Linked DNA regions of Tamandua tetradactyla. The protein of the gene in region 4 binds, or shares a complex with, the protein of the main gene of each other region. Links are inferred from orthologs where the notes say so. Each region holds a gene or a part of one and is shown on either strand. Other genes may lie near its edges. The genes, in order: SNIP1, ARMC7, SNRPD3 and CRNKL1.

Region 1 (7,796 bases), on a different chromosome or scaffold from region 4:
ACTGTGGTAAATCCACACCATGGAATATTAGCAAGAAAAAGGAATGAACTATTGCTAGATGAATAGATCTCCAAAAATTCTTCTGAGTGGCAACAGCTAACCCCAAAAGGTTACATACTGTGTGATTCCATTTATGTAACATTCTTGAAATGATAAAATTACAGAAATGGAGGAAAAATCAGTAGATGTCAGCGATAGCAGTTGCCAAGGGTTAAGAAGGGGTAAGGGTGGGAGGAAAGTGTGTGTGTTTATAAGAGGTATGTGTGTGCGTGCATTTATATTTGTATAAAAATATATAAAAGAGATTCTGTGGTGATGGAAATGCTGCTTTATGACTCTATCAATGTCAATATTCTGATTGTGATACTATACTATATTTCTGCAAGATATACTACGGGGGAAACCAGGTAAAGGAATAATTCCCCGTTTTATTTCTTACAACTTCATACGAATCAACAAATATCTCAAAATAAACTTAATTTTAAAAAAAAGCAAAGCCCTTTTCTGGTACAGATGAAAACACCTTCTTTATCAATGATAGGAAAAAGCTATACCTTTGGACCTAAAGTCAAAGCACGCACTTCAACTTACCTGCTTCACTTTGACTGTGGAATGGTGAGGACTTCGGCTTCTCTTATTCCGAGGAGACTTGCCTCTTCTCCCTGAGGACTTGCTCTTCTTTTTGGCTGGGGACCTTTTCAGAGCATGGTACATACAAGATTTTATCTCAACGTCCCTTCCACCATGTAAATCAACTTCAAGTATCAGGCTTATCTACTAACAGAAACACACCTGTGAAGGTCTCTGCTAATCACAGAAAAGGAGTCAGGAGTCTCACTTTCCTATCCCTAAGGTCTTCCTTGAGTTCCAGACCCACCTATATAATTGCCTACCAGGACTTTTCCCTTAGAAAATATAACATTAAATTCCACTTCTGGTTCTTTGCACTGTTGTTTCCCCTGCCTGTTATCTTAACAAGGCTCGATCATTCTCATCATTCAGGCCCCCCGTTCAGAGAGGCCTCCTTCTGCCCTCCAATTCCTCACTATCACATTACTATTTGAACTTATCCTTAATATTTGTTACTAATTAAAACTATTTCATTTATTTGCTTTTTGTTTATGCCAAGGATAGAGAACATCTATTCCATCAAAGATAAAGACTGTCTTATTCATCCTTGAGGCCTCGTACTTGGTATAAGTCTAGGTGCTCAATAAAAATATATGTTGAATGAGTGAATAAATCATTGAGTCTCACAAATCTTTTTTTTTTTCTTCAGAGTTTCCATCAGGTAGATCTCCTGGGCCCTCAATGTGGGAACCTTTTGGCGCAAAGAATTGGAAGAACACCCGCCCTGGCTTGACGGGCAGACAGGGAAAACCTCTCAATTTAATAGATCTTTCAAGTTTAGAAACTATTAATGCTATCTTCTGGACCATACTCTGCTGGGTGCTGGAAACATCAAGATGAAGAGATGGAATCCTGCGCATTAGGCGCTAAAGGCCCAGCTATAAATCAGGTGGCAGATGCAGGCGTAAACGTTTAACTCAAGGCTGACTGAGTCACTTTCTTCGCCTCCAGGATTATGTCCAAGCTGCCGAGCCCAGCATTCGTTATTTCTGATGCCAGCCCTGCCCTCTCTTCTCAACGAAACCAACCCAAGATCCATCTCGGGCCTCTCTCCACTTACCGGCTGCCTCCTCGGACTCGGTTTCCGTGGTGACCCGGGCGACTCGGCTCGCCGGCAGGCAGGGACGGGCTTCCGCCAGACGACTCGGGTCGGCGGTGAGCTGGAGGCGCTGCTTCCGGGCTGAGGCGCTCCTGCTTCACCACCACCGCTGCCGCCGCCACCACCACCACATCTCCATCCCGGTGCCTTCGCCGGCTGCCCCGCTCCCGCTCATTCTTTACCTCCTTCATTCCGCGACCTACGCTGAGGGAAAGAAGAGATCGCTGGAGCTCGGCTTGATGAAGGAAATGACGGATTTGGCCCCTGGCTTTCCCCTTCCGGGGTGAGCGCTCTCCCAGAAACCCTAGCGGCGGAGACTCCAAACACGTGACCACGACCCCGTAGTGGGCGGGGCCGTAGTGCACTAGTTCCGGAGGCGGGAATTTCAAGTTTCAAAAGCAGCTTGGAAAGGGAACGGGATCCGGGCTGTAGGTCAGCGAGGACGCGTCCCCTGCTCCCACACAGGGACTGTCCTGGGAGGCCCCGGGAGAGGCGTGGCTGCCCTCCCTGAGAACTGTGCTCACCGCCCATTGAGGGGGCAGGGGCAGGCTTTAACATATCTGTATATATTTTTTTAACTGGGAAAGGAGATACTTTTGGAAAAACTGCAATTAAACCACATTATCAGGGGAAAAAAGCAACTTGGAAAAAGCTACATACTCTCAAGGGCTTGTCACGTCATTAGTAATTACAAAACACTGAAACAACTTAAATGCCTAGCAGTAGGTAATTGCCTAGCCCATTGATGGAATGTTATGTCGCCAAGGCAATGCTCTTTACAAACTATGGCGAATGGAAAAAGCGCTGACTTAAACAGAAAAAGTACAATACAAAATTGGGTCCAAATTCTGATTTCATTTACGTTCAGAAACACATGAAGAAAAGGAAAGGAGGAAATGCAATCATAGATGGTGGATTTTGGAAAATCAATAATGCTTTTTTCCTATTTTCTGAACTCTGTTATGTTGTAATTTCTCCATTTGATAAAAAAAATACTTTTTTAAAAAATTAGAAGTTTGGGAACTCCACATACCTTCCAACGGGAACCTTCCTCAATCAATCCTTCACTGGGAGATAACTCCCATTTTACAGGTGGCCTGATCCCTCATTCAAACGCAGTTTAACGGAGTTTAGAGACTCGAACTCAAGCTTATCCTGCTTCCAAAAGCCCAGGGGCAAGCGGGCGGGCTGGCGGGCAAGAAGTCGGGAAAGCTTAGCTGAAGGAGAACTTTCCGCAAACACAGGGCAAGAGAATGAGATTCGCTCGCCTCTGGCCCCGCCCCACACCGAAGCCCCGCCCAGGCAATGAGGCTTGGAAAGGGGGTTTCCATGGTTACGGCAAACAGGCCTAGACTAGAGGGGTGGCTGCTGGGTTACTACCCCTTGTGTCGCCATGATTCCTCCCGCAGACTCACTGCTCAAGTACGATACCCCGGTGCTAGTGAGCCGGAATACGGAGAAACGGAGCCCCAAAGTAAGGACGGCTCTCGGGGGTCCGGGGAGCCGGGACGTTCCGATGGAGGAAGACACATCTCGTTGAGGGTCTGGAAAACCGAGGGAGAGAGGCTGCAGGGGAAGGAGGGTGGAAAAGCAGCACAAGAAGGCCAGATATTGGATGTGCCTCCGGAAAGCAGATTTAGGATCAGACTTAATCTTTTTTTTTTGGTAGCCGCGTTCAATAATAAATCAGGTAGTGATTTCTCCATTGCTCGAGATGTGAAAGCAAAGCCCCGAGCACCCTTGCCAAAAATGGTTGGAGTGGGACCAGAGGCTCTTGATGGCCTCCTTTGACTTTGAGTCAATTTCTGCTGAGAAGACAGAAGGTAAACGTGAGCCAGGAATAGGGGAGGGATGTGCAGGAGACAGGAGGCCATCCAGGGGGCCAGTATGTGTGGAGCTGAGTGCCTCTTACCCGAGCCTGTCTATCTTTTCAGGCTCGGCCACTGAAAGTCAGCCCCCAGCAGCCTGGACCCTCGGGTCCAGTCCCACAGCCACCAAAGACCAAACTTCCCTCAACTTCCTCTGTCCCAGACCCTACAAAGCAGGCAGAAGAAATCTTGAATGCCATTCTGCCGCCAAGGTAAAAAAGCAGGAGCAGTACCTGGGAGAAAGCCCAGGCTTTTGCATCCCAGGACTTGGGAATATGGAAAAGACCCCTGCCTCTATTCCTAGCTTGAGTTTCCCCCCAGTATCCTAGAATTGCTAGAGTTTGCAGATACCTGATTCCTGGGAGGATGGGGAGGAGATGGCTTCTCTATCTACTCTCATTTCCTGAATGCTCTCATCCAATCTCATGGCTTTAAATACTATCCATATGCCAATGACTCCCAAACGCTTATTTCCAGCCCTTTCAGCTTCTTTAAACTCCAGACCCATATATTCTACTTCCAAAGATGTCTAATATGCATCTCGAACTCAAAATATCCAAACTAAGTCACGTTTTCTTCTTCCCCCAACCTGCTCATACTGTCTTCATCTTCTCAGTAAGTGGTAGCTGTCTTTTACTAGGTGCTCAGGCCATCTTTCATTGCCTTTAGTCTCTCATATCACATGTCTGATCCTTCATCAAACCCTGTTGGCTCTACCTTCAAATTATGTCCCAAATCTGATCCCTTTTCACCACCCCTGCCTCCAGCATCTCGTTCCAAGTCATTCTTTAGCATTGGCACTTCTGCTGCGGCCTCAAAGTTAGAAACCACTTTTACTCTTTGTCCCTACAATCTGTTCCCAACACAGCCCCTAAACCATAAATCAGGTCATGCCAGTCTTTTCCCAGAAGTTTCTAATGGCCTCCCATCTCGTGCCTGCTACAATCTGAAACCCTTACCATGGCCTGAAAGGCCTGGCATGATCTGTCTGGTCTACACCATGTCCATTGTCTTATCTGCTGTTACTCTCCTTATTTGCTGTGCCAAAGCCACATAGCCTCCACTTGCTATTTCTAAAACACCACAGTCTCTCTCCCACATCAAGGCCTTGGCAGTTGCTGTTCCTACTACTGAAGATGTTCTTCTCCCAACATCCCATTTTTTCACCCTGGTCTTGCTCAGATGTCATTTCCTCAAGGAATGTTTCCTTGAGCATTTTATAAGAGAGCACCCACTCTCCAACATGATCCCTTTACTCCACCTAATTCTTCTGCAACATTTATCACCACCAGACATAACTATTGGTTCATGGTCTGTGCCTCCTTTTCCCACTACTCGCATATAAACTCCTCAAGATCAGAGGCTTTGCTCTCTCCCCTGTGCATTCCAAAATATTTGTTGAAGGAAAGAACAAACGGGGTGCTCATCACACCAGAAGGCAAGTCATGTCAAATCGTAAGAATCATTTCCTTGAAGGTGTTTCCTCCAAAAATACTTATCTTTGGCTTGAAAGAGATGGAACCTCAGCAAATCGCATATAGATAAAGCATCTCTGGATTGTTTTAGAAGTTTCAGGAAAAGTTTGACACTTACGGAAGTTAGGTTTACAAGGTACTTGCCTGGTCAGGTGTCCACATGCTCTCAGAGCTTTTCCATTATCGCTAAGAATTGAGAGAGGAAGGTATAAAGTTGAGCCCCAGCAATTAAATGCTTCCACTCAAAAGGAACATGTGGCACTTCTGTTTCACATTGGGCTGCCAAATCAAATCACATAGCCCTGTCTCAAGGAGGAAGTAGACTTTGGGCCTGGAAAAAGAGGAGAACTGGATATCAGTGAACACCAATATTATGTCCATAGACGAAAGAAGCAGAGCTGGACTCCTGATATCTTTGAATTCAAAATCCATATACCTTTCCACCATGATAGACTATCTCCCGTGAGGCATATCTGAAAGCCTACATGAACCCTTTTGAGACATACAGATTTAGGATCCCCACAGTGGGCTGCTGGCATTGCAGGTGAAGTGTTCTAGTTTGGGAATTTGAATGTCCTATTTCCTCTCTCAGTTCAGCACACTAGTTACTGATTATTTACCATAAGCCAGACATAATGTCTGTATCTGAGGATACAGAGATGAAATTCTAATTTAAACAAAAACCTACAGTCAAGGAGCTTAGAGTTTAAAAGGACACACAAAGAAGTAAAGGTCTGTTTTAGTTGGCATTGCTCCTATAACAAAATACCGCAAACTGTTTGGCTTAAACAACAGGACACTACTGGCTCACAGTGGAGAGACTAGAAGGCCAAAATTAAGGTATTATCAGGACTTGCCTTCTCCAAAGTCTATAGCATTCTGGCGCTGGCTCACTAGCCAGCAGTCATTCTCTGCCTCTATTACATGCCGATCTGTCTCTTTCTGTCTTCTCCTATGGCTTGTACTTGTGTGTCCAAATTTCCTTTTTATAAGGACTACAGTCATACTAGATTTAGGCCCACTCTGGTTCAATTTGACCACATCTAAATAGGATCTTTGAAGATCATGTTTGCAAACGAGTCCATGCCAACAGGACTAGGAGTTGCAACTTGAACATGACTTTGTGGGGACATGATTGAATCCATCACAGCGTCCTATGGGAGAGCTTGACAGGAGTCTAATGGAACCATCCATTAGTCTGTTATGACACAGAGAGTTCATCTACTCCGCTTGCTGAGGGATCTTTCCTAGGAGCTGATTTTCGAAGTAGGGAAAGGAGTTTATCAGGCAAATGAGATGGGGAGAGCGCTCCAGGTAGGGGAACCAGCACATGCAAGGCAAATAGGGAGAATGAGGGGCGTGACCACATGGAGACTGAGTAGACAAGCATGGACTTGGATTGTGAAGGGTGTCTGTAGTCCAGAGTTTCTCAAACTGGACCACAACCCATTTATTCAATGAAATTAAGGTAGAGGCTAGTCCCAGCATTTAAAAACTGGAACAGGAAACGATAGGATAGAATAGAACAGAAAATAACAGATTACATCTCATGTCATCAGGGTAAATTTCATTTCATGAAACCTGTATCCGTTATGTGTGTGTGTGCATCTCTGTGGACGTGCACTTGTATGTATATGGAATCATGATGTTAACATCCATTTTTACGTTGAGTGCAGTCATAAGTGTGAGAGCTGCTGCTGTGGCAATAGGGAACCCCTGAAGAGATTTTTATCAAGGCAGAGTCACCATCAACTTTGTGCTTTAGAAAAGTCACTGTTGTGTGGTGTTGAGCGGCTGGAGACAAGAATGCCAGTTGAGTTCAGGGGGAAGGTGACAAGGCTTTGGCCAATATTGATGCAAGAGCCACCTAAATTTGGAAAGCTCAGTTGGCCCATGCTCGTGAGAGCTTCTCTGGCTCATCAGATGTCAGCAAGGTGTCCAGGCCACTACTGACCAGTCTTAGCTTCCCAATGAGACTGATCTCCAGGCAGCCAAGGGCACCCCCAGAATCAAGCCAGCGTAAGTGGGAACTAACAGGGTGGGGTAGTCAAGCCATCTGAACCAACTGAACCAGATCTTCAAAAGCTATGCCTTCTCAACTATTTTTAATGTAATGCAGTTTGTATGTAATGTAATGTAATGTAATGTAATGTAATACAGTTTTGAAGGCTGTGATGAGAAGGGAGACAGTAAAAAAGACCATGACCTCTTCACAGGTGGAGGTCAAAGGAAGGGAGCAAATGTTTCAGTTGCTTTCCTCCCATCAATGGTATAGAAGTCCTCTCCCCAATGACCTCTCCCCTCAGGCTGCTTCCTTGCGATTCCAGTACCTGGCCTTGCCAGGTTCATTATGGGGGGCCTGTGCAGGCACACACCTCCTAAGTACTCACCTACGCCTCCTGTTCCAACTCAACTCTTGAAGGTCTTGAGTCAATGCAGCCCCAAGCTCCAAACACACTAGGTACAGAGTCGGACATGAGTTTCATTAGGACTTGCAAACAGGAGCGGGTCTCCAGTGGTGGCCATATGGTAAAAATGAAAGTAGCACACTGCAAGGGTGGAAATGCAAGGAGCAGCTTATAAGGGTTTAGGACAAGGGCATTTCACAGAGTACGTGAATTGAGTTTCACATGACACAGGGATCTGGAGATTTGTTATCAACATATCTGTCAGGGAGAGGAGTTTTAATGTTTTACGGGATAAGTGGTCTACAATACCATCTGT
Region 2 (7,551 bases), on a different chromosome or scaffold from region 4:
ACTCCTAGAAGAAAATATAGGGAAACATCTTCAAGACCTAGTAATAAGAGGTAACTTCTTGAACTTTACACTTAAAGCACAAGCTACGAAAGAAAAAATAGGTAAATAAGAACTTCTTAAAATCAAAAGCTTCTGTGCCTTAAAGGAGTTTGTCAAAAGATGGAGAGGCAGCCGAGTTTGTCAAAAAGATGAAGAGGCAGCCAACTCAACAGGAGAAAATATTTGGCAACCATATATCGGATAAAGGTTTGCTATCCTGTGTACATAAAGAAATTATACAACTCAACAACTAAAGAACAATCAATCCAGTTATAAAATGGCCAAAAGATATGAATAGACATTTTTCCAAAGGGCAAAAACAAATGGTCAAAAAGCATATCATCTTCATTAGCTATAATGCAAATGCAAATCAAAACTATACTGAGATATTATTTCATACTTATAAGAATGGCTGCTATTAAACAAACAGGAGAATGTAGAAAAACCAGAACACTTAGGCACTGCTGGTAGAAATGTATAACCAATCGTTCAGCAGCTGTGGTAGACAGTCTGGCAGTTTTTATAAAACTAAATATCAAGTGCCCTATGACCTGGCAACACCAATACTGGGTATATACCCAGAAGAGCTGAGAACAGTGATATGAACAGACATTTGCACCCACTATTCATAACCGCCAAAAGATGGAACAATCCAAATGTCCATTAGCTGAAGAGCAGATAAACAAAATGTGGTATATATACGCGATGGAATACTATATGCAGCGGTAAGATGAAATGACGTCCTGAAGCACTGACAACATGGATGAACCTAGAGGATATAATGCTGAGTGAAATAAGCCAGACATAAAAGGAAAGACAGAGTATGATTTAACTTTTATGACTCTGATAAAGAGAGCAAACTCCAAATCACATAGCCCAGGAAGAAAATCTGTACTCATATGTAGCAATGAACTTGATGTTGCATCTCTACAACTAGAGCACGCAAATGACTTCACAAGCAATGGCTTCTATACATTTCACACTTTTAACACTGACCATTCGTAATAAAGATTCTGTAAAAGAGAAAAAATTTAATAAAAAAAAAAACATAAATGTAATGTGGGATTCTGGATGGGATCCAGGAACAGAAAGGAAATTTGCATAAAGTACAAATTTTAATTTAATAATATATCACTGTTGGTTCACTGACTGCAACAAATGTATCACAGTAATGTCAGACGCTAAACAGGGGAACCCAGGTATATGGGAACTCTGTATTATGTTTGCAATTTTTCTAAAACTGTTCTAAACTTAAAATGTTGATTAAAAACAGAGAAAGAGAGATTTAAGGGACCATTTAACAACCAGAGGAAACTCAAGGATCTTGGACTGGATCCTGGCTTATCCTAACCAACGACAACAACAAAATGTCCCTTTGGGGACTACTGAAGAGATGTGCATACCGGGTAAATATTAGGAATTATTATTAAAAGTTTCTTTTGCCTATGTAAATAAAACTCCTGTCACTTAGAGGACTGTTATTTTTAAATAGAGATATGTTTTTTTTTTAAAGATGTATAATGAAAAAATAATTTTTGTTTGCTCTCAGAATAAATTCCAAGCTCTTTCCACATAGCCTTGACCCAAGGCCCTGTAAGCTCTGGCACTGCCAAACCCTCTGACCTCCTTTTATACCACTCTCCCCTTTACTTGCCACAGCCCTGCCACACTAACCTTCCTCTGGCTCCTTCCTGCTTTCAGGTCTTTGTCCATGCCATGCCTCAGCCTATACGCCCTTCCTCTGATGGCCAAAATGGAAGTAGCCCCCAACTGTTATTGATTTATCTTACCCCTGGCAATTCGGTTCACAGTATCACCTTTTTTGTTTGCTTGTTCACCAATTCTCTCTTTACTGGAATGTAAGCCCCCTGAGGACAAACACATTTTCCCAACTTGTTTGACATCTCCTCTTAGAACAGCACCTTGCTGTCAGGACAGACCCAATAAACATACATTCAATAGGTCGTAAGACCATAACAACTTCAGGAGCTATAAGCTAGAGAGCCCAAGTCATCCTTATGTTTTTTGAAATTAAAACATTAAAGACAGAGTAATCTCAAAATAGCTTCAATCCATTCCCTCATTTGTGATCTCGCCTCTAAGCAGGAGAGAGAGGGTCCTGGGTGTGAAGTTACAGGCTTGTCTCAAACTACCTGTGACCTTGGACAACCGAGGAGGCATAACAGACATCGCAAAGATCTGCCTTTACAGCCGAGGGGCTGCTTAAGACTCCCTTCCGAAGAACTCACTTCTCACTGATCTCACTCCAGCCTCCCAGGCAGTGCAAGGGGAAGGTTGGGCTCGTGGGGGTGGGGGGAGAAGGCGACCCCATCCTTACCGATGGCAAACTCCACCAGGGTCTCATTCTCCTCTGACAGCGAATCAAGGAACAAATCCAGGACCTGCAGCTGCCGCAGATACCCGTAGTTGTTGGGGTCATAGGCGAAGTTGGCGAGGTTGGCCAGGACTTGCTCCTTGGCGTCTGCAACGGGAAAGCGGCGCTGGAGGCAGGTCCCCGGCGGCCGCGGCCGCACCTCCACCCCGGCCCCTGGCTCCCACTCGCGGCTCTCACCCTGGCTCTCCGTCTCCTGGAATTCCGTGACCAACGCCTGCAGGTATCCCAGCCGCCCGACATGAGGGTCTACCTTCGGCTTCTGGGCCATCGTCGCCGCGGCGGAGGGCCCCGGGGCCCGGGCGGGGAGGGCGTGGGAGGCGAAGCCGGGCAGCCAGACGTGGACCTCACCGGACCGACCACCCGTCGGAGAAGCCGGGGCCGGGACGGGAAACGGGTTCTTTTCCTGGGTTCAGGTTGTGCTGTAACTTGAGGCTTAGACTGGGATGTGGGGGTGGGATGGGGTCTCGGGACGCTAAGTCAAAATTGGGGAACTGGAGACCCGGGTGTCCCTGCCACTTAAAGCGGAAGGGGAGGGACCAGCATCCGCATCCCCGACTCCAACGCTCTGCTCTCCGCGGGGTTCCGGCCTCCGGCGGAAGTTGTGCTAGTTCCCACCCCGCAGGGCGGAAGGGGCGGGGAAAGGGGCGTGGCTTCCCTCGCGTTACTCGGGGTGTACTTTGTGGCACCAGTCCGACCGCGAGCAGAGAATGGGCCTCAGGTTGGTGGGAGGGTCGGGGGTGGCGTTAAGGAGCGCCTCTGGGGAATCAGAGGCACCGCTGTGGGGGCTCGTCGAGGCAGAGGCACCTCCAGACCTCCACATACTTGGCGGGGGTCGCAACTTGGCCTCCTCGGCCCAGGGACGCTCCTGCGTAGCTCTTGCGTCAGCTCCCCGTTCCCCGTGTCGGTCCTATGACTTTACAATTGGGGCGGCTTTTCCAAAAAGTTGGGCGAGTCCGACGCCCCCTCCTCCCCACCTCTGGCCATCAATCACGCGGGTTGGAGACTATCCCATGGCTCATTGTTAGCAAGGCAGGCGGGGGCGCCTGGGACAGCATCGGTGAGCCCTAGAAGGAACCTGGGTTTACCCATGTGTCCCACTGGCGGCTTTCTGGGTTGTGGGGTCCTGGGTGCCGAAGTCCTCCGGCCCAGTTCCTTCTCAGGACCTCCCAGAAAGGAGGTATGTAACGGACCTCGTGGGTGCCCGGGACTGGAGCATCAGGGAAAGAGGTAACACCACCACTCCCATTGTGCTTGAAAATGTGGGGGGGAAGTGGGCTTAGGCCGTGAGCTTCTTGAGGGTGAGGACCGTGTGACATCCAGAGGCTGGACAGTGACAACAGTCCAGCCAGCAGCAGCTCCCTTGGGAGCAGGCCCCTACTTTCTGCAGACCTACTAGGTCCCTGTGGTCAGCCCTGTTCTGCACACACCCTCTGGAGCGGTTTTAACAGTAGTCGGAGCTCAGGGTACCCAAACTGTTGGAGAGGGTGGTGGCCCCAGCCCCCTCCCCAGGTCTTTGGCTTCTGTGAGGAGCTGAAGTGGCACAGGGACATGCATCACAGTCCAAAGCTGGGAGACATGTAGCTCTCTGCCTGGATTGAACAGCAAAGGCCTGGAGGCAGGAGTTGCCCCAGGTCCTCTAGACTAGTCCCAGGCTAATCAGCTAAATTTGGGTTCTAGAATTAGATGGGCCACCCCACCATCCCTCAAGTGTTTGGCTTTATTCCCTCCCAAACCCTCAGGGATCCTTCTCCTTGGGAAAGAATTCTTAGTCCTTTGTTTTGTTCTGAAGGCAGCGACCAGGTCTTTAAGGTCTCAATAAAATTTTTTGTTGAAGGGATTCTGCCCAGGGTTTATTGCCACTTTTGCCTGGGGGGAAATGAGGTCAGGGTCAAAGTACTCTATGTTGAATATTCAATTTTTTTTTCCTTAAAATAAATTTGTTTTCAGGAAATGGGCCTATATGGGGAGACACAACATATCAAAGTACTAATCTACCTACCAGCCCCCAACTGCCCTCTTTTCTACTCCTTCAGAGCATGCTCATCCAGGCCAAGCTCCTTTTTAAAGGCCCAGAGATGGGGAACAATTTGCCTAAAGTTACAGCAAGTTGTTTCTGAGTTCAACATCAACTCTGGTCTCCGTCCCAGCCCAGTACTCTTGCCTTGCCCCTGCACTACCACGACTGACTAATAGGGGGCACTCGTGACAGGCTCCTGGGGGAGTCGGGAGGACATCCCCAAGGATGCTTATTCACACCCGCTGGATCAGTGGGGAGGAAGGCTGGGGTCAGGTTATGAAAATGAAATCAATTCTCCTTGGCCTGATAAGGTTTTCTTGTCCGAGCCTGGCTGAGCCTGAATCAACAAGGTTTTGAGAAGCCTTGCAAAGCCCCTGCCAAGTGGAGAGGAGGGAATGTCCTCTAGGCCTGTTCTCTTAAGAGTTCACTGGATTCATAATCTCCAGTGATTCATAATCCGCTGCAGGGAGTGTTTTTGTATGTAATTCAAACAGACCCTGTTTTTCATCCCCCCCCCTAGGTGGGTATCCTGCTGGGACAAGTCTGAGCTGATGACAGCCAGTCCCTGGAGGGCCTTGGGGTGACCTCAGGGAAGGGCACCGGCCAAGTGCAGAGGGAAGCTCTGGTCTCCAGGGCCCAGGAGTGGACTGGCAGCCGGCCCAGCCAACTCCTTACCCTCAGCTGACGCCTTGACATAGCAGGGTGAAGGGGGCTTGGGAGGGCAGGAGAGGGAAGTGCAAGGGCTTCCTTCACAAAAGCAGCCCTATTTTCACAAAGGTCCCTGGACATTAGTTAGCCAGTCTTCTTCTCCCCTGGACAACTGACCGCCTGACTTCCTCCCATACCAGGCCTGATGTTCTATGCCAAGACTACAGGGTGGGGGTGCAAAGGAGGGAAGGAGACCCTAGAGCAGACCCTGCTAAATGAGGAGGAAGTCCCCTTAGGCTTCACCAGGGGCTCCCCTCCACATCTCTGCACAGACACCAGGATGGGGACACCACCCAACGTTTAATCTGTCAAATCCTGTGTCCAGGCCAACTCCTCAGCCTGGCCCTCCAGCCCGCAGGCCACATCACAGTCTCTCATGGGTCCCTTCATCCCAGACTTCCAGTCAGTGTGAGGCAACCTGTGGTGGGGGCAGCCTGGGCCAGCTGTGGCTGCCAAGGGCAGGGGCTGGGTCACTTGGGAAGGAGGACGGCAGGAGGGCCCTGAAAGAGGGATGAGCTCTTTGGAATTGTCTCGAAGACAAAGTGTGATCACGCTGAAGGCATGCAGTTTGGACTGGAAAGTTCATTGTGCTGAGTTGTGGGAGTAGTCATGGGTGGCCAGCTGAGCAGAGTCAGCTATGTCAGACCCAAGCCTTCCTGGGCCCCCGGTTGGTGGAACCCAAGGGAAAAAGTCAGAAGAATCCACTCCTGGATTCTGCTGGTTGGAAATACCTCTGAGCCTTCGGAGGGCAGCATCCAAGGTCCCAGCTCCTGGCCAGGTCTCATTTGTGAAACCTGTTCCAAGCTCCCTGGGGCAGCCCTTGGCCACAGCCTCTGGTGAAGCAACTGACGTGCCATTCCTGGGCTGAGACAGTGGTCACTCACTAACCTCAGGGCTCAGACAGTGGTCACATACATGATCTCGGGGCACGGCCGCTTGCCAGGACCATCTGTGCCCTCCAGGAAAAGTTCCTGCTCCGGGGCAGCCTCCATGATGGCTCCTTCCTTCTCAGCCTGCCTGCCCTGCCTCTCCTTCCTCTGCAGGGCACAGAAGCTGCCGCCCATGAAGAGGGCAGCCGAGATGAGGATGAAGCTCGACATGTAAAAAACATAGCTGAAGTTGTTGTTGGTGGCATCCAGCAGGAATCCTGGGGGACAGAGAGCAAGTCAGGCCACTGCCCAGGGCTCCTGGATACTCCCCTCCCCACCATACTATGCTCACCACAAACAGGGACTTTATTTTTGTTTCTCTTTGTCCACAGTGCCAGGAGGCATAGCTGGCACCTGGAAGGTACTTGATAAAGATCATTGTTGGATGAAAGGAGGGGAGGAAATGCTTTATCTACTTTGGCCTGGGGCAGGGAGAATTCTCAAAAAATTTTGGCCAGAGGGCAACTTAAGGGGTGACTTCTCACCCTTGGTGGCTGGGAACCAAGAAGACTGGACTAGTGGAGACTGGGATGTTTGCACAGCCACCTCCCAGGTTCTGCCCAGACTTCCTCCTGTGTGCTTTGCTTGGAGAACTTGGGGGAAGGCTCTCCCACTGGACTGGAGTCGACCTGCTGGGTCTTACTGTATTAACCGCCCCGACATGCTGTCTGTTGCCTGCATCCTGGCACCAAGCGCTTTACAAACCTTTTCTCATTTACTCTGAATGAAGCTCTCAGCTGCAGCCCACACCTAGGTCCTCTCATGTGGATCCCTATCGCCATGTTCTGTACAAATCACCATCGTAATTACAGACAGGTTCTTTAATTCCTGACCCCTCCTCCAGAAGGGAAGCCCAAGGGTGGAGGGGCCGGGTCTTGGTATTCAGCCACACCCACCTAGGGACTGGCACAGGTGAATTCCTGATAGGTGACAGGCATTCTTTTCAACATTGTGCAGACCACATTGTGGCTCAGAGAAGGAAAATAACTTGCCTAGGTCCCCACAGGCAGGAAGTAGGAGAACCTATGTGAATATGTGACTATAACCTCCAAATATTAGGATGTCAATCGTAGCAAGCACCTACACAGTGCCACTTACTATGTGCCAGGGTCTCTGCTGAGCTCTTTGTAACTCCTAATCCTTACAACAAGCTGATGAGTTTAAGATGCTATTATTACCCCCCACTTTCCTGATAAGGAAACTGAGGCACATAGAGGAAGATGAAGGACCCTGGTAGGTCTGGCACCCACACCCCAAACACTGACTGGGGCAGAGGCTGCAGTGTGGTCCCTTGGGGTGCTGGGAAAGACAGACCCCAAGCTCCTGCCCCTGCAGGTGCCAGAGGAGCCCCCAGTCTGTCCAGGCTGTGCCCTGTCCCCATCCCTTGTCCCACCTCCACCATCAGGGCTACCCTCCCTTCCCAGGGCCTCACCGGCTATCGGCGGGGAGATGAGGATGGAAAT
Region 3 (7,276 bases), on a different chromosome or scaffold from region 4:
GGAATGTAAAACGGTCCCAGGAAGCGGGTCGGATACACGTGTGGTCCCTTCCAGCCCCAATGTTCCCACAGCCTCGGTTCAGCGCTTAGCTCCCTGGTGATACAGTCTCCCACAGCCAGGCCAAGGCCAGTGGGTGGAGGGTCCCCAGTCCCAGTCGTGGGACTGATCAGTGGTGCTGAGGCCTGGACACCCGGCAGGACCCCTGGCCCATCTCTGTAAGAGGGGACCAGCCCGGGGGGAAGCTGGGCCCCCCGCAGCGCCCTGGGGACAAGCAGTCCCACCGGGCCCCCCCACCCCCCGGCCCAGGGCAAGGCGCTGGCCGCACACTCACTGCAGCACCATCCTGGAGCAGGCCAGGCCGCAGTCCCAGTGGTAGAGCTGCTGGATGACGGGCACGGGCAGCTGCACAAAGTCCCCTGCACGGACACACAGGGAGTCACTGCTGCCCCGGCCACCCTGGCCTCAGCTGCCCCAGCAGCTTCCCCATCATCAGTCCTGTGTAACCCTGCAGAGGCAGCGTGGGGCCCAGTCCTCAGCCCCCATGCTGTCTCCCTGTAACAGCCAGTGACCTCCCCAAAACGCCAGGCCCCCAACGGGGGGGGGGGTTCCCTCTCTTCTTGGGAGAGTGCTGTTGTGGCTGCTGCCTTAATACCACGACTCCTTGCCTACCCTCGCTCCCACCAAGCCAACCCTCTCACTCCTGGTTGCCCAAGAGCCTGAGCTAAGACAGGACACTTACCCTGTGGGGCCCAGCTCCCCATTATATGCACGCACAGCCCCCCAAACCTCTCCCTCTGAGCCCCCTGGAACGAGCCCTGAGCAGGCTGTGTGGCCTCTGATCTGTATCCCAGGGCCGGCACGTAGGGTTACCCAGCAGACATGTAAGTCTGGATTCATAAGGCCCCTGGTACTGCCTGAAACCAAAGCCCCAGGACCACCCGAGTGCCACCTGCCACAAAGCAGGCGGGTGGGATGCCCTGCAGCTGTCCCTGGATGCCCTCTGATCCACCTTCACCACAGCAGTGAGGGGAGCAGAAGGGACCTGAGCTGGGCACCATGGGTGCGGCTCAGCCACCGGCGGCCAGTGCAGTGGGCAGCTGACTTCCTTGTGCTGAACTGGGGTGGGACTTGGATGTGATTCAGTCATTCAGTTGACAGATGTTTCCCGAGAGCCCACTGGGTGCCTGGCACGTGGACCGGAGAGCGGAAATGAGCTCGGTGGCCATGTCAAGGGTAATGGGAAGAACGGGTGCTAGGCTGGGGGAGACGGTGAGGGGTACCTAGGAGGGGGTGAGTCTGGGGGAAGCCCGGAGCAGTGCCATGTGTGCCCTGAGACCCGGAGGCTGAGCAGAGGGTGGTCTGTGGACAGAGAACCAGCTGTGCGCTGGGCTCGGTGAGCTGGCTGCGGCTCACTAGGACCATGGGTTCCTCCTCCTTTGGACTAAGGTCAGAGTCTAAAGAACCAAAAGGAACTCACCATTGCCAGCTCCCAGCCACATTACTCATTAATGACACCCGCCTGGCAAATGAAAACCCAGCCTGCTCTGAAGGTCTTGGGGGGGTGCTCCTGGGCTGTGCAACCCAGTCCCATGCCACATCATGGGGGGTCCTAGTGCCCCACTCCCCTACACACTCAGGAGGGGTCACTGGCTAGTCCTGGAGCCTGTCCTGGGCTTTCCAGCCTCTGCCTTTGCCTATGCAGCCCATCGACTGGCGGGCCCCCAAGCTCCTGTGCTCCTGCGTCTAACCGCTCCCCAGCCTTCGAGGCCTGGCTTAGAAGCCACCTCCTCCTGGGTGGGTGGGGGGTCCTAACCTCACCTGGCCATGCCCTCAACCTCCTCAGCACCCTGCCACACCCAGGACGGGAACTGTGCTTTCTGCCCTCCACCCCTCAGCTCACAGGGGCCGCAGCAAGACTACCGGGGGCAGGCCTGGGCAAGCAAAGGCCTGACCTCAGCACCAGGCCTCTGGATGGGGCATTCCATCCCTAGAGTCTAATGCTTAGCAACAACTCAACACCTTCGAAGGTGTCTGAATTATCCCCCCAAAGGGTTTGCCTGAGTGGAGGGTGCAGGTGCTGTGCCACCATGGCGTGGGGTGGGGGGTGCTTCTCTTTTCACGAACACCTTGCTGTCACCATGAACTGCCTTTTGGTTTTTCTCTACCCAGGCGGTTGACCTGCCCCCACCCCCTGGCCTTCCCCCTTGTAGATCCTCAGCCTGGAATGTCCTTTCCCATCTCTGAATGTCCAAATGCTCGAATCCCTCTCTGGGCCCCTCGGCGGAAACGCTGGATGCAGAGCATTGGCAGGAGCACCAAAGGGGGGTGGCTTTGCTCCCTCCAGGCCTCGGCCCAGGGTGGGCGCTCAGGCAAGCCTGGTGAGTGGAGGGTGATTTCCGGTGAGGACTTCACCTCAAGATGCCCGGGTCTGCCTGTCACCACGGCACCACACCCCCCTGCACCCCTCTCCCCCCGCCAGTTTCCAGACCACATCCCTCTGCTCGCAGCTGTCTTCTTACTCTGGGGTCACTGGATGACCTTTGGCCAGGCCTTCAACCCGGTCACTCTGTCCCCTGTGCCCACCTGCCAAGTGTGGCACCCCACAGCTCCTCTCGAGGGCCCTTGGAGACTCAGCTGCCCCCCGTCCTCTTGTCCTGAGCTCTAGAACCCCTTGATCCTGAGACCCCACAGGACCAAACACCCCCACAGGGCTGCCCCCAGCCTTAGCACGGGCAGGCCAGCCCATTGGGACCCAGAGAGGCTCCTGCGGGGGATGATAAGGGTAGGCAGGCCATGGCCTTCATGCCGATAACGGCTTCAGCCGCCCAAGCCCCACGCTGCCGCCGCATGTCGAGGCCTGGAGCCCAGGGAGGGCCACAGGAGGCCACCCGAGAGCCAGGGCCGGCCTGGCAAGGGAGGAGGGGAACTTGCCGAACTTCACACCCTCTGTCTACTCATCTGCAGAAGTGGAAATAGTAACAGTAACCTGCTTCCTTGGGTTGTTATGAGGGCTAATGCATACAAACAACTTAGCATGGTACCTGCCTCATAGAAGCCCCTACAAATATCAGTCATGACTCCACTGAGGGTGAGAACAGGCAACTGTCTTGCCTAAGACTGCAGAGTTAGATAACTAGAGGAGACAATGTGAATCCCAGTGGGCAAAAGACCCCCTGCTCCATGGTGCCACCAGAGGGGACTGCCACCGCTACCCCCCTCCACCACTGACACCTTAGGGTCAGGGTCCCCCTTGCTCATGACCTCTCCTATGATCCTTGGAGTTTGCAAACACTTTCCTTTCCCCCTCCCCCACTTCTCCAACCAGGCCCAGGGCACCAACTGCCAGTCTTGGGGCAGAAGGAAGAAACTAGAGGTTGAAAAATTCTAGCAAGACAAGGTGATGACCCAGGGGTCTGGGAGCCCAGGTGAAGGGGCCTCCTCTAGCTCGGCCCTCTCTGGCCACTTCCCTGCCCGACTCTGGGCCTCAGCTTGCCTCCAAGTTCCCCAGGGGACAGGGTCTTCCAAGGCGGCTCCCACTGGGCTTTCCACCTCTGATCATATCCCGGGAATCCCCACGGGCCGCTCCAGAGCTGACTGGGGTCCCAGCCCCGTGGAGATCAGGGCTCCCCGATGGGCTCGGGGCTCGGGGATGGGGGGCGAGGCGAGAGTGTCCAGCTAGACAGGTCTCACTCGAAGCTCTATGCTCGACCCCAGGCGGCGGTCGGCCCAAGGTCGCCCGGCCGGACCCTGCCTGCCCCGCCTCGGGGCGGGGTCCCCCTTCGGTCCCCCGGGAGAAGTCCGAGCCCTCGGGCGGAGGCACTGACCCGGCTCGAGCGGCGGTCCCGCTGCCTCCGCCTCCGTCCTCATGACCCGGGCGCGGGACGCCCATGGCCCCAGCCCGGCGCGGGCGGCGGCTTCGGCTTCGGCTGGGGCGTGAGCGCAGCCCACGACGGCCCGGTTCCGCCGCCGCCACCTCCGCCACGGCGGAGGGGAGAGGAGGAGGCGGCGGCCCGGCCGCCCCCGGCCCCGCCCCGGCCTTTCCAGGCCTCCTCCCGGGAGGCCCCGCCTCGCGCCGGGGCTCCGCCCTGGCCTGTGCCCCTGGAGGCCCCGCCCTTCCCACACCGAGGTTTCCGATAGGTCTTCGGCCCGTTGAGCTACGGCCGACTCGACCATTCGTAGGCTCGGCTGCTGGTTGGCCCTGCCCCACTCCTCACACCGACGCCTCCGTTTCCCGGAAGACCCGCCCCCGAAGCCCAGGCCATCGGCCCGCGCGGCAAGTCCCGCCCAGCCGGGTCTCGGTCCTTAGCCGGCCTCAGGTGGGCGCCGCAGGGGTTCCAAGAGACCTAGCTCTGCCCAGACCCCCCAGACGGACCGCAGTCTACTGTATACCTCGGTTTCCCTTTCTGTACAATGGAATACCTCGCGCCACTTACCTGGAGGCGCCAGGTTCCAACGACTAAATTGTGAAGGGAGGTCCCGGCCCTCCGCTCCACTGCCTGCCGTCCCCGATCTGAGGGCCGAGGTCCCGGATGCCCGCCTTGCAATCCATCGCGTCCCTGATGCGGGGTGCCTGGAAGCGCGAGCTGCCCTCTCCTCTGGCCCGCCCGAGGGTCGGGGTTTCCGGCGGCACCCGGGCCCTGTCATCAGCCCCTCTCTTCTGGGGCCGGAACTATAGTGCCACAGCCTGCGTTTCCCAGCCGGCGGAGTGAGGAGGAAGCCGAGGCGGGACCGCGCCCCCCACTGGAGAAAGGGAGGGGCGGGCCCTTCGCGCGGCATTTTGGGAACGCGGGGAATTCTGGGAGCGCGGGGCCCGCCATTCGCTCTCTTCACGCCTTCGTCGACACTCGAGTTGCCGCGTTACAGAAGAGGAGGAAACGGAGGCCGGAGCCGGTGAGGGAAGGCTGGAAATGGGTGAGGGGAGGCGGAGGCTCCCTGGGAGGGTTGGGGGCTGGAGAAGGCCACGCTGCCGAGAAGCGCCGAGGGTTGAGGGGAGGGGAGAGAGCGGGAAACCCGGGCCACGCAGCGTCAGCTTCGCGTTCACTTCTCCCCAGCTTTCTGGCTTATTTTGTTTGTTTCTATCCGAGTCAATCGTTTTCGAAGCCTCCAGGCCATAATCTCGACATCCTCTCTAATTGAATGTTTTCCCCTCCCCCCAACCCCCAGTCTCGTGTACGTAGTCATTTTCGGAAGGTAGGCACCGAATCCTTCTCCTCGTGCTTTCCACACTGTCGCCGGACCTTTAACAAGTCTCTCTGCTTCTGAGCTATATGTTTAATTCATCCTGTAAATGCTGCTTCCTTTTCATGGGGTCATTCCTTCCCCCGTCCTGCAGCAATTGGTTCCCTGCTGTCTGCAGCACAAAATTCGAACTCCTAAGGCTGAAACTCAGAGGTCCTCACCCAGGGAGCCCATCTTTCCCAACCTGAGGGCCCCTTTTCTCTCCACGTACATCCTTCCCCTTGCTTTCTTTTGGATGCACATGATGTGTTCCAACCTTCATTTTTGCTCACCTCAGAGTAAAAAGTCCGGTGTTTTTGCTTTTTTTAATTAGGTCAAGCCAGGCCCTTGCCCTGATTTTTCTGTCCTCTAAGATGAGCATTGTTTGTTTAAAGCAGGTTGTCATTTTGTGAGCACTTTAATGTTTTCTCTTTAGTCCCCGTGGTGAAGTGAATGGGGCACCAGTAGATACTCAGTGGATTGAGTTAAAAATGCAGCCTCCTCTCCAGGATTTGTCTGTGGATCCTTTGGTCCAAATCCACACTGTGCAGTTCGAAGCCACTGGCTGTTAAGCACGTGGAATGCGGCCAGTGTGGATGAGGAATATACTTTATTTCATTTCAGTTAATTTTAAATTTAAATCGTGACGGGCTGACAGTGCCAATTGTGTCTGACAGCTCATAGTTCTCAAAGTGAAGCATCACCCACAACCGTGTGTTGGCAGATGCATTGTGCAGCATATGCAGTTGCCCCACTCCCATATTGATGAATGATTATTTTGGTGAAGATAAAGGGACGTACCCTAGATGCCCCATACTGAAAAGTAGATGGAAAGTACTTTTGCGTTCCCCTAGTCTTATCTCTTTTCAGCCCCCCATTTCTCCCATCACCCAGCTTGCATGTGCTTCCTGGATAGACTCCTCCAAGCTGTGCTCTAAGCTCCTTTTTTCAGTAGTAGAAGAAAAACAGCTTTGGCATCTCTGCCAATCGTTTTGGAGTGCCAGGTCTTGAGGGAGGCATGGTCTGTCTGCAGTGCCTTCTCAAGCTCTGAAAGTTGAACTAACTGTTCTCTTTCTTGCTCTTAGAACTCTCTTCTCTCCAAGATGTCAATTGGTGTGCCAATTAAAGTCCTGCATGAGGCTGAGGGCCACATCGTGACATGCGAGACGAACACCGGGGAGGTGTATCGTGGGAAGCTCATTGAGGCAGAGGACAACATGAACTGCCAGGTATCTTGCTTGGCGCTTGAGGTTGTGGGGGAGCCTGGGCCTATGTGTTGGAGGACAGAAGAGTGATGATTGTGGGTTCTTTTAAATTTATTTTCATTCAGCAGTTATTTACTTAGTACTTAACGTGTGTCATTTTGTTGGAGGTGCCAGGGATGTGGGCATGAACAGGACAATCATGGTCTGGAGCAGAAGAGCTCTTTGGAAACTTTTTGTCCTCTATTCTCTCCTTCTCATAATTATTTTCTCCCATATCTTGGGGGCATGTTTGACAGAAGTGCCACTACTCCCCTCAAGAGACCATTTACCCTCCACATGTTCCCCTAACTACAGCTACTCACCTACTATGTGTATTTGCCTTTTTTTTCCCTGGGTTAAGAGGTTCTATTTGATTCTTCCAATTACCTTGTAAGGTAGGTAGATTTGGTGATAGTTTTGTCATCCATAAAATAGGGAGCGTGAGATTAAAGAACTCGTCTGCTGAACTTCACCCTGTTAATAAATTGCAGAACAGCCTCCTGGTGCCCTTCCATGTCCCTGTGTCCCTGGTATGCATTTTGTTATTTTTCATGTGGTTTTATATGGCGTTACTTTACAAAGTGTCTAGCACAGTTTCTTTGTTCTTTAAACAGCCAAGTAAGAGCTTGGGTTTTTAAATCAGTGAGAGATGTGTCTTTGAATCCTGATTGTATGACCTGGGGCATTTCAGTTTCCTCATCTGTAAAATGGAGATGATTTCACTTCAGGTACTCTGAGATGCACACATCAAGACAGAATTGGACATGCAAGAGATTTGTTTTGGGAAAATATCAATAGAGGATTAAAGGCAGGGA
Region 4 (6,843 bases):
TTCACATACAACTCAATGAGACTAAAAGTAGATACAACAGGATTAGTGTATATTGTTAAAAACACTATCTTAAATTTAAAATATTCACACACTCCAGCGTGGGAAAGTCAAATCACATTCAAGTCTTTTCACCACTTTTTTCATATCCCCATTCTTAAAACAGAAGGGAAGTGAGACAAAAATATATAATACATTTGCTAAGTACACCCTTCTTACAGTTGTCAGTTGTTTCACAAATCTTCAATTTGGCATCAAAAATAACGACTCTGGTGGAGTTAATGTCTTTACACTTTAAAACAGACAACTCATGGCATCGTTTAGAGTTCAGCAAAAGGTAGTTATCTGGTAACCAGAAGTTATATTATTCACATGGCTAGAAACACTAATCTTATCTTAGAGACTCTCTAATGTGCACCTTTTCAAACTCTAACCTATAAATTCTTGTCAATACTGACAGACTCTCAAAAATATCACATGGACTCACCTTCCTTTTCCTTAGTTTATAATCATTTAACTCTTCTTCATCTGTGATCTTCTGTTGCGGTGGAGGTGGAAGTAGCTCAAGTTCTCTTTCTTTAGCTTCTCTTAAGAGTTGTTCAGCAGTTATCTGTACCTCAGCAGGGGCTTTGTTTTTCACCTTTTAAGACAGAAGACATTTCTAGTTTGGGTAGATGCTCTTCACATAAGATTTTTTAAAGAACCAAAATTTTTTTAGGATGTGAACTTCATGCGTATTATCATAAAATGCTCTATCTGTATGACATGTTTCATTTTTCTATGAGACTGTAAAGAAAAAATATTATGCTTACTATCTTGTATATTTTATCTATTACCAAAGCCATAAGTAAAAGAGTTAAGAAGACAGGTAGTGATAATAGCAAGTTTGCGCTTTAGCTTAATATAACAATAAACTTTGGGGCTGTCTGGGTAAAATTCTCACCAGAGGTATTGCTTTATCAAGATGTGTACCATATCTTATTTGGCATTACAACCTCTATTTATGGGACTCCTCAGTTTATCTTGATGCCCTGAGGGGACGACAGGGACTGGATTTTATTTTTTTATCTTTAACGCAGTTTTATTAACATATTCACACACCATACAAACCATCCGAAGTATACAATCGCTGACCCACGATATCATCACATAAGTTGTGCATACGTCACCTTGATCAACTCTAGAACATTTTCATTACTACATAAAAGCAATAAAAAGAAAAAAGAAAACCCAAATCCTCCCATATCCCATTAATGACTCATAGTGTGGCACATCTGTTACTGCTGATGAAAGAATATTAAGATATTACTGTTAACTATAGTCATTAGTTAGCAATATGTACATTTTCCCCAGTGCACCCTACTATAATTAACTCCTTGTAATAATGTTGTACAATTGTTCTAGTTCATTTAAGAACATTTTTTATATTTGTACAATTAGTCATTGTCCATCACAAGATTCACAGTATTATACATTCCCATGTTTTAAGCTCCAACTTTCCTTCTGGTGACATACATGACTCTAAACTTCCTCTTCCTACCACATTCAGACACCATATAATACTGTTATTCTCACAATAATGTGTTACCATCGCCTCTACCCATTTTCAAACAATAGGGATTGGTTTTCAAATCACCTCAAGTCAAAGACAATATTGAACATGTTCTCATGGTTAGATTATAAACTTCTTGAGGTCTTAGAGCTGTGCTGTCCAACACAGTAGCTATGGCCCAAATATGATGAATTCAAATGAGATTAGCTTTAAACGCAAACTACATATAATTTTGAAAATTTAGTATGAAAAAGAATGCAAACTGCCCCATTAAATTTTTTATATTGACTACATGTCAAAATGACAAAATTTTAGATATACGAGGTTAAAAATGTTTTTTAAATTAATTTCGCCTGTTTTTTTTAACTTTTTAATGCGGCTATGAGAAAATTTAAAACTACATATATTTCGTTTGAACACACTATATTTCTACCGGAAAGCACTACTTTAGATCAAGTCCTGCTCGGTATTGGTTCCTTCAGGTCTATTTTATATAGAAGGTACTGAATAAAATTTATGAAATTGAATTATAAGAAATATTTAATGCCACATGTAAGTAATGAGCACTGTGTCCCAGATACTGTGCTTTATTTGCATTATCTCTAGGAATCATATCTAAATAGAGATGAAAACGCCAACCTCAAGAGACACATCTGGACTGGAGACAGACAGGAGATAACGATGTTTGGAAAGGATGAGCACAGAGTTTGACACATATTAAGCACCCGGTAAATATGAGCCATGGATTGAACTATCAGATAATATTAAGCTTACTATTTAATTCCATTTACGCAGCTCCACAACCCTTGTAACCTACTCTCATTCCTTCCAGTCTCCGCTGGCTTAACTCTTACTCAGCCATCAAGTCTCAGCTTAAATATCACTTCCTCAGCAAAGTTTTTTTTTCTGAAGACTCCCCGCTTCGCAGAACTCCCCTTATTCTCGCCCATGGCATCTTCCACTTTGCTCCAGTAGCTTTAGGAGGTTGCAACGTTACATTTAGCGTAAGACACAGGCGCTAAGCGCCAACACAATAAAACTGTGCTGAATGACCTCTCTCCTCGTCCAGCAAAAACACCTTCCCAAAACTAAAGCCATGCCGACGCGGGTCGTGCTCTGGGGAGACAAAAGCCCGCGCCAGACCACCGGCTGACCCTCCCTGTCTCTTCTCCCGCGGCACCAGGCGGGGTGGCCCTGGTCCCGGGATAACATTCGCCCCTGCCCGGGCACCACGGAGGTTGGGTCTGGGGGAAACTCTTCTTACAGGCCCTCTCCCACAAGATCCCTCGCTATCGCCTACTTTGGCCACTTTAGGAATCCGCTGCTTCCCGGCCGCGGTGGAGGCCGCCATGTCGGCAGCAGTGCGCCACACGCCACCCCTTGAACGGCAGAAACCTGCTCCGAGTATTCGGAGTATACTTCGAGTATTTGGAGCATACACTCCAAAGCTTTCCGACAACAAGCGGAATTCCGGAACCGGAACTGAAGCCGGAACCGATTTGATGACCCTTAACCTCTAACACGCGCCGTGACGGAGGCAGCGCCGTTTCTGTGGTAACCGGGTTGTGCGTCCTCCGAAGCTGCAGGTAAGGTGGGCAGTACTAGCCTGGCCGGGAGGGACGTGGAGACTGGGTTCAAGGTGTCAGCGGAGCATTCCTAGGTCAGTCACCGGGAATACGAAGACAAGGGGAACCGCCGCGTTTTAGAGATTAGGGACCGAGGTCCAATTCGGACGCTATCGAAGGTTGGAGAAGTTAGGGCGGCTAGGAAACTACCACTCCCAGCATGCCCTGCCGCGAGCTGCTGCGCTCCCGGGCGGCCTGGCGCCGCGTTGCATTCTAGGCTTTGTGGTCTCTTAAGTGTGAGGTCCACTCCCTCCGTTTCGAAACAGTTGTGCCCAGAAGATTAATGCCAAGACTCGGAAGTTAAAAATAATGGAAGATATTTTGAAGCCAGATATTAATCACAAGAAAATAATGAAAGCCAGCCTAGTGTCTAAGTAGCAAACCACCCAGCTTTATGGTCATGTAAATAAATTCTCTGTGAGTGTGCCTTATTTACTTACTCTTAGCCTCAACGTCCTCGACTAACGACAGAACAATAATATCTATTTCACAGGGATTAAAGAGAAAATCGATGTAAAGTGCTCCATAAATATTAACTTGTATAATTCTTGACCAGCCTTCAAAAATAAAAAAATGAAGTATGTGCGAACAAATGGTTAAGAGAATTATGACAGTTCAAGTCTCTGGTGTTTGCCAGAAAAAAAAATATTTACGTATGTAATAATATCAAGTTTACTGCTTTTATCTATGCAGATATTTATTTCTTAAAAAAAATTTAAGCTGATTTCCCAAACTGCAACCGTTTGTAATGAAGATCAAAATATTTCCAATAACTTTGTACCATCTATATTATCTTTAAATACTTCTATTTAAATATTTAAATAGAAGATTGTTTAGTGAGTACCCTTAATTTGTAATAATGTTTAACAAAGTTTAAAGTTAGTAATCTCTAGCCTCCTCTCAAAGATACAAATACCCTAGAATACTTTACTTCTATTTACTGTGCTTGCATCTCACATGTTTTATTCTCTGGTGATTTAGTGCAACTTTACTTTTAAGCAGAAATTTATCATTATTATTACTTTTCTTTTTGCCATCAATGCCTATTTAGATATACCTTCATGTTTACTGTTTTTTTCCCTCAGAACTGCATCTTGCATTCCAATCCTTTCTGATTTTAATTTTTTTTTCCTTCCTGGAATTCATCTTTTACTGGTTCTTTCAACAACTTTCTTTGAATGGTATTCTCTCTCAGTATGATTTCACTTTCATCTTTAGGTATAGAAGTTTGGCTTTGTGGTCTCTTAGCTCTGAGGTCCACTCCCTCTGTTTTGGAATAGTTGAGGCAGTTTTCCCCTCAGAACTGAAATGGTTTTCCAGATTTGGCCCATACCCTGTTTTTGTACAGCCTGTGAGCTAAAAATTTTTTTTAACATTAAAAAAACTTTTTTTGAAAAAAAACGAAAGAATATTTCATTATACATGAAAGTTATATGAAATTCAAATTTTTGCATCCATAAATAGAATTCTATTGGAATACAGTGACTTCTTTTTTTTTCCAGAATCTTTTTTTAAATTTTTTTAAAATTTATTTATTAATTAAAAAAATAAAGAAACAAAATAAAACAACATACATAATCAGTAATTCACAATATCATCACTTAGTTGCATATTCATCATTTCTTAGAACATTTGCATTAATTCAGAAAAAGAAATAAAAAGACAATAGAAGAAGAAATAAAATGAACACAGGAAAGAAAAAAAAGGATTATACCTACCATACCCCTTACCCCTTGCTTTCATTGTTCACTAGCATTTAAACTAAATTTATTTTAGCATTTGTTCCCCTTATTTATTTTTATTCCATATGTTCTACTCCTTTGTTGACAAGGTAGATAAAAGGAGCATCAGACACAAGGTTTTCACAATCACACAGTCACATTGTGACAGCTGTATCATTATTCAATCATCCTCAAGAAACATGGCTACTGGAACACAGCTCTACATTTTCAGGCAGTTCCCTCCAGCCTCTCCATTACATCTTGAATAACAAGATGATATCTACTTGATGCATAAGAATAACCTCCAGGGTAACCTCTTGACTCTGTTTGGAATCTATCAGCCATTGACACTTTGTCTCATTTCCCTCTTCCCCCTTTTGGTCGATAAGGTTTTCTCAATCCCTTGATGCTAAGTCTCAGCTCATTCTAGGGTTTTTCTCAATCCCAATGAATCCCCTCCATTCATTCCGAGATCTCTGTCCCACGTTGCCAGGAAGGTCCACACCCCTGGGAGTCATGTCCCACATAGAGACGGGTAGAGTGGTGAGACTGCTCATTGTGTTGGCTGGAGAGAGGGGCCACATATGAGCAACAAAAGAGGCTTTCTTGGGGGTGACTCTTAGGCCTAAATTTTAAGTAGACTTGACCTATCCTTTGCAGGGTTCAGTTTCATATGAACAAACCCCAAGACTGGGGGCTCTGCCTATATCTTTGGTTGTCCACACTGCTTGTGAGAATATCAAGAATTCAACTTGGGGAAGTTGAATTTCTCCGCATTCTCACCACTCCCCGATGGGGGCTTTGCAAATACTTTTCCACTCACTGATTGAATCACTCTGGGATTCATCGGGGCATCACTCTGGACAAACCAGCAAAATCTCATGTCCAACCTGAGATTCCAAGTACTTATGGTGTTCAATCAAACTATCTACATAAGTTATATTAGGAAATGCACTAGTCAAAATATAAATTTTGTAACTAATAAACATTTTTTGCTTTAGTCTCACAGAGAAGGTGACATTTAAAAATATTAATTACCATCTATTTTCAGCACCCTGCAATAATGACATTCCTTTGTTCTTCCTCATGCAAAAACATTTTTAAAATTGTACCTTGTACATTTCACTATCATACACTCTAGGCATTCCTAGATTATACCATCTCAATCTTTAACATCTATCTTTCTTTCCAATTTCATTTATGTCCCCAGCCCTCCTCCCTCTATCATTCTCACATGCAGCTTCATTCAGTGTTTTAACATAATTATATTACAGTTAGGTAGTATTGTGCTGTCCATTTCTGAGTTTTTGTATCCACTCCTGTTGCACAGTCTGTATCCCTTCAGCTCCAATTACCCAATATCTCACCCTATTTCTATCTCCTGATGGTCTCTGTTACAAACAAAATATTCCAAGTTTATTCACCAATGTCAGTTCATATCAATGAAACCATACAGTATTTGTCCTTTAGTTTTTGGCTAGTCTCACTCAGCATAATGTTCTCAAGGTCCATCCATGTTGTCACATACTTCATAAGTTTGTTCTGTCTTAAAGCTGCATAATATTCCATTGTATGTATATACCACAGTTTGTTTAGCCACTCATCTGTTGATGGACATTTTGGCTGTTTCCATCTCCTTGCAATTGTAATAATACTGCTATAAAACATTGGTGTGCAAATGTCTGTTTGTGTCTTTGCCCTTATGTCCTCTGAGTAGATACCTAGCAATGATATTGCTGGGTCATATGGCAATTCTATATTCAGCTTTTTGAGGAACCGCCAAGCTGCCTTCCACAGTGGTTGCACCATTTGACATTCCCACCAACAGTGGATAAGTGTGCCTCTTTCTCCACATCCTATCCAGCACTTGTCATTTTCTGTTTTGTTGATAATGGCCATTCTGGTGAGTGTGAGATAATATCTCTTTGTGGTTTTGATTTGCATTTCT

Evidence for each region.
Region 1: CRNKL1 (region 4) and SNIP1 share a complex: the UniProt entries of both Homo sapiens proteins name them as parts of the minor spliceosome. The link is inferred for Tamandua tetradactyla from reciprocal best matches to the Homo sapiens genes CRNKL1 and SNIP1.
Region 2: CRNKL1 (region 4) and ARMC7 share a complex: the UniProt entries of both Homo sapiens proteins name them as parts of the minor spliceosome. The link is inferred for Tamandua tetradactyla from reciprocal best matches to the Homo sapiens genes CRNKL1 and ARMC7.
Region 3: CRNKL1 (region 4) and SNRPD3 share a complex: the UniProt entries of both Homo sapiens proteins name them as parts of the minor spliceosome. The link is inferred for Tamandua tetradactyla from reciprocal best matches to the Homo sapiens genes CRNKL1 and SNRPD3.

The regions. Positions count from the first base shown.
Region 1 is NC_135328.1:187,752,418-187,760,213, reverse strand, and holds the start of SNIP1 (smad nuclear-interacting protein 1), read right to left. Parts: upstream 3,021-7,796; 5' UTR 2,763-3,020; intron 2,011-2,762; exon of another isoform or gene 1,934-2,010; 5' UTR 1,921-1,933; coding exon 1,691-1,920; intron 695-1,690; coding exon 592-694; intron 1-591. Other genes in the region: DNALI1 (axonemal dynein light intermediate polypeptide 1), read left to right, coding at 3,123-3,203, 3,664-3,809. UniProt on the Homo sapiens protein: Required for pre-mRNA splicing as component of the spliceosome. As a component of the minor spliceosome, involved in the splicing of U12-type introns in pre-mRNAs. Down-regulates NF-kappa-B signaling by competing with RELA for CREBBP/EP300 binding.
Region 2 is NC_135332.1:15,527,635-15,535,185, reverse strand, and holds the start of ARMC7 (armadillo repeat-containing protein 7), read right to left. Parts: upstream 3,005-7,551; 5' UTR 2,703-3,004; coding exon 2,612-2,702; intron 2,522-2,611; coding exon 2,378-2,521; intron 1-2,377. Other genes in the region: SLC16A5 (monocarboxylate transporter 6), read right to left, coding at 6,056-6,306, 7,521-7,551. UniProt on the Homo sapiens protein: As a component of the minor spliceosome, involved in the splicing of U12-type introns in pre-mRNAs.
Region 3 is NC_135331.1:25,394,171-25,401,446, forward strand, and holds the start of SNRPD3 (small nuclear ribonucleoprotein Sm D3), read left to right. Parts: upstream 1-4,267; 5' UTR 4,268-4,890; intron 4,891-6,302; 5' UTR 6,303-6,320; coding exon 6,321-6,446; intron 6,447-7,276. Other genes in the region: protein GUCD1, read right to left, coding at 332-416, 3,825-3,867. UniProt on the Homo sapiens protein: Plays a role in pre-mRNA splicing as a core component of the spliceosomal U1, U2, U4 and U5 small nuclear ribonucleoproteins (snRNPs), the building blocks of the spliceosome.
Region 4 is NC_135327.1:40,346,148-40,352,990, reverse strand, and holds the start of CRNKL1 (crooked neck-like protein 1), read right to left. Parts: upstream 3,012-6,843; 5' UTR 2,901-3,011; coding exon 2,850-2,900; intron 638-2,849; coding exon 485-637; intron 1-484. UniProt on the Homo sapiens protein: Involved in pre-mRNA splicing process. As a component of the minor spliceosome, involved in the splicing of U12-type introns in pre-mRNAs.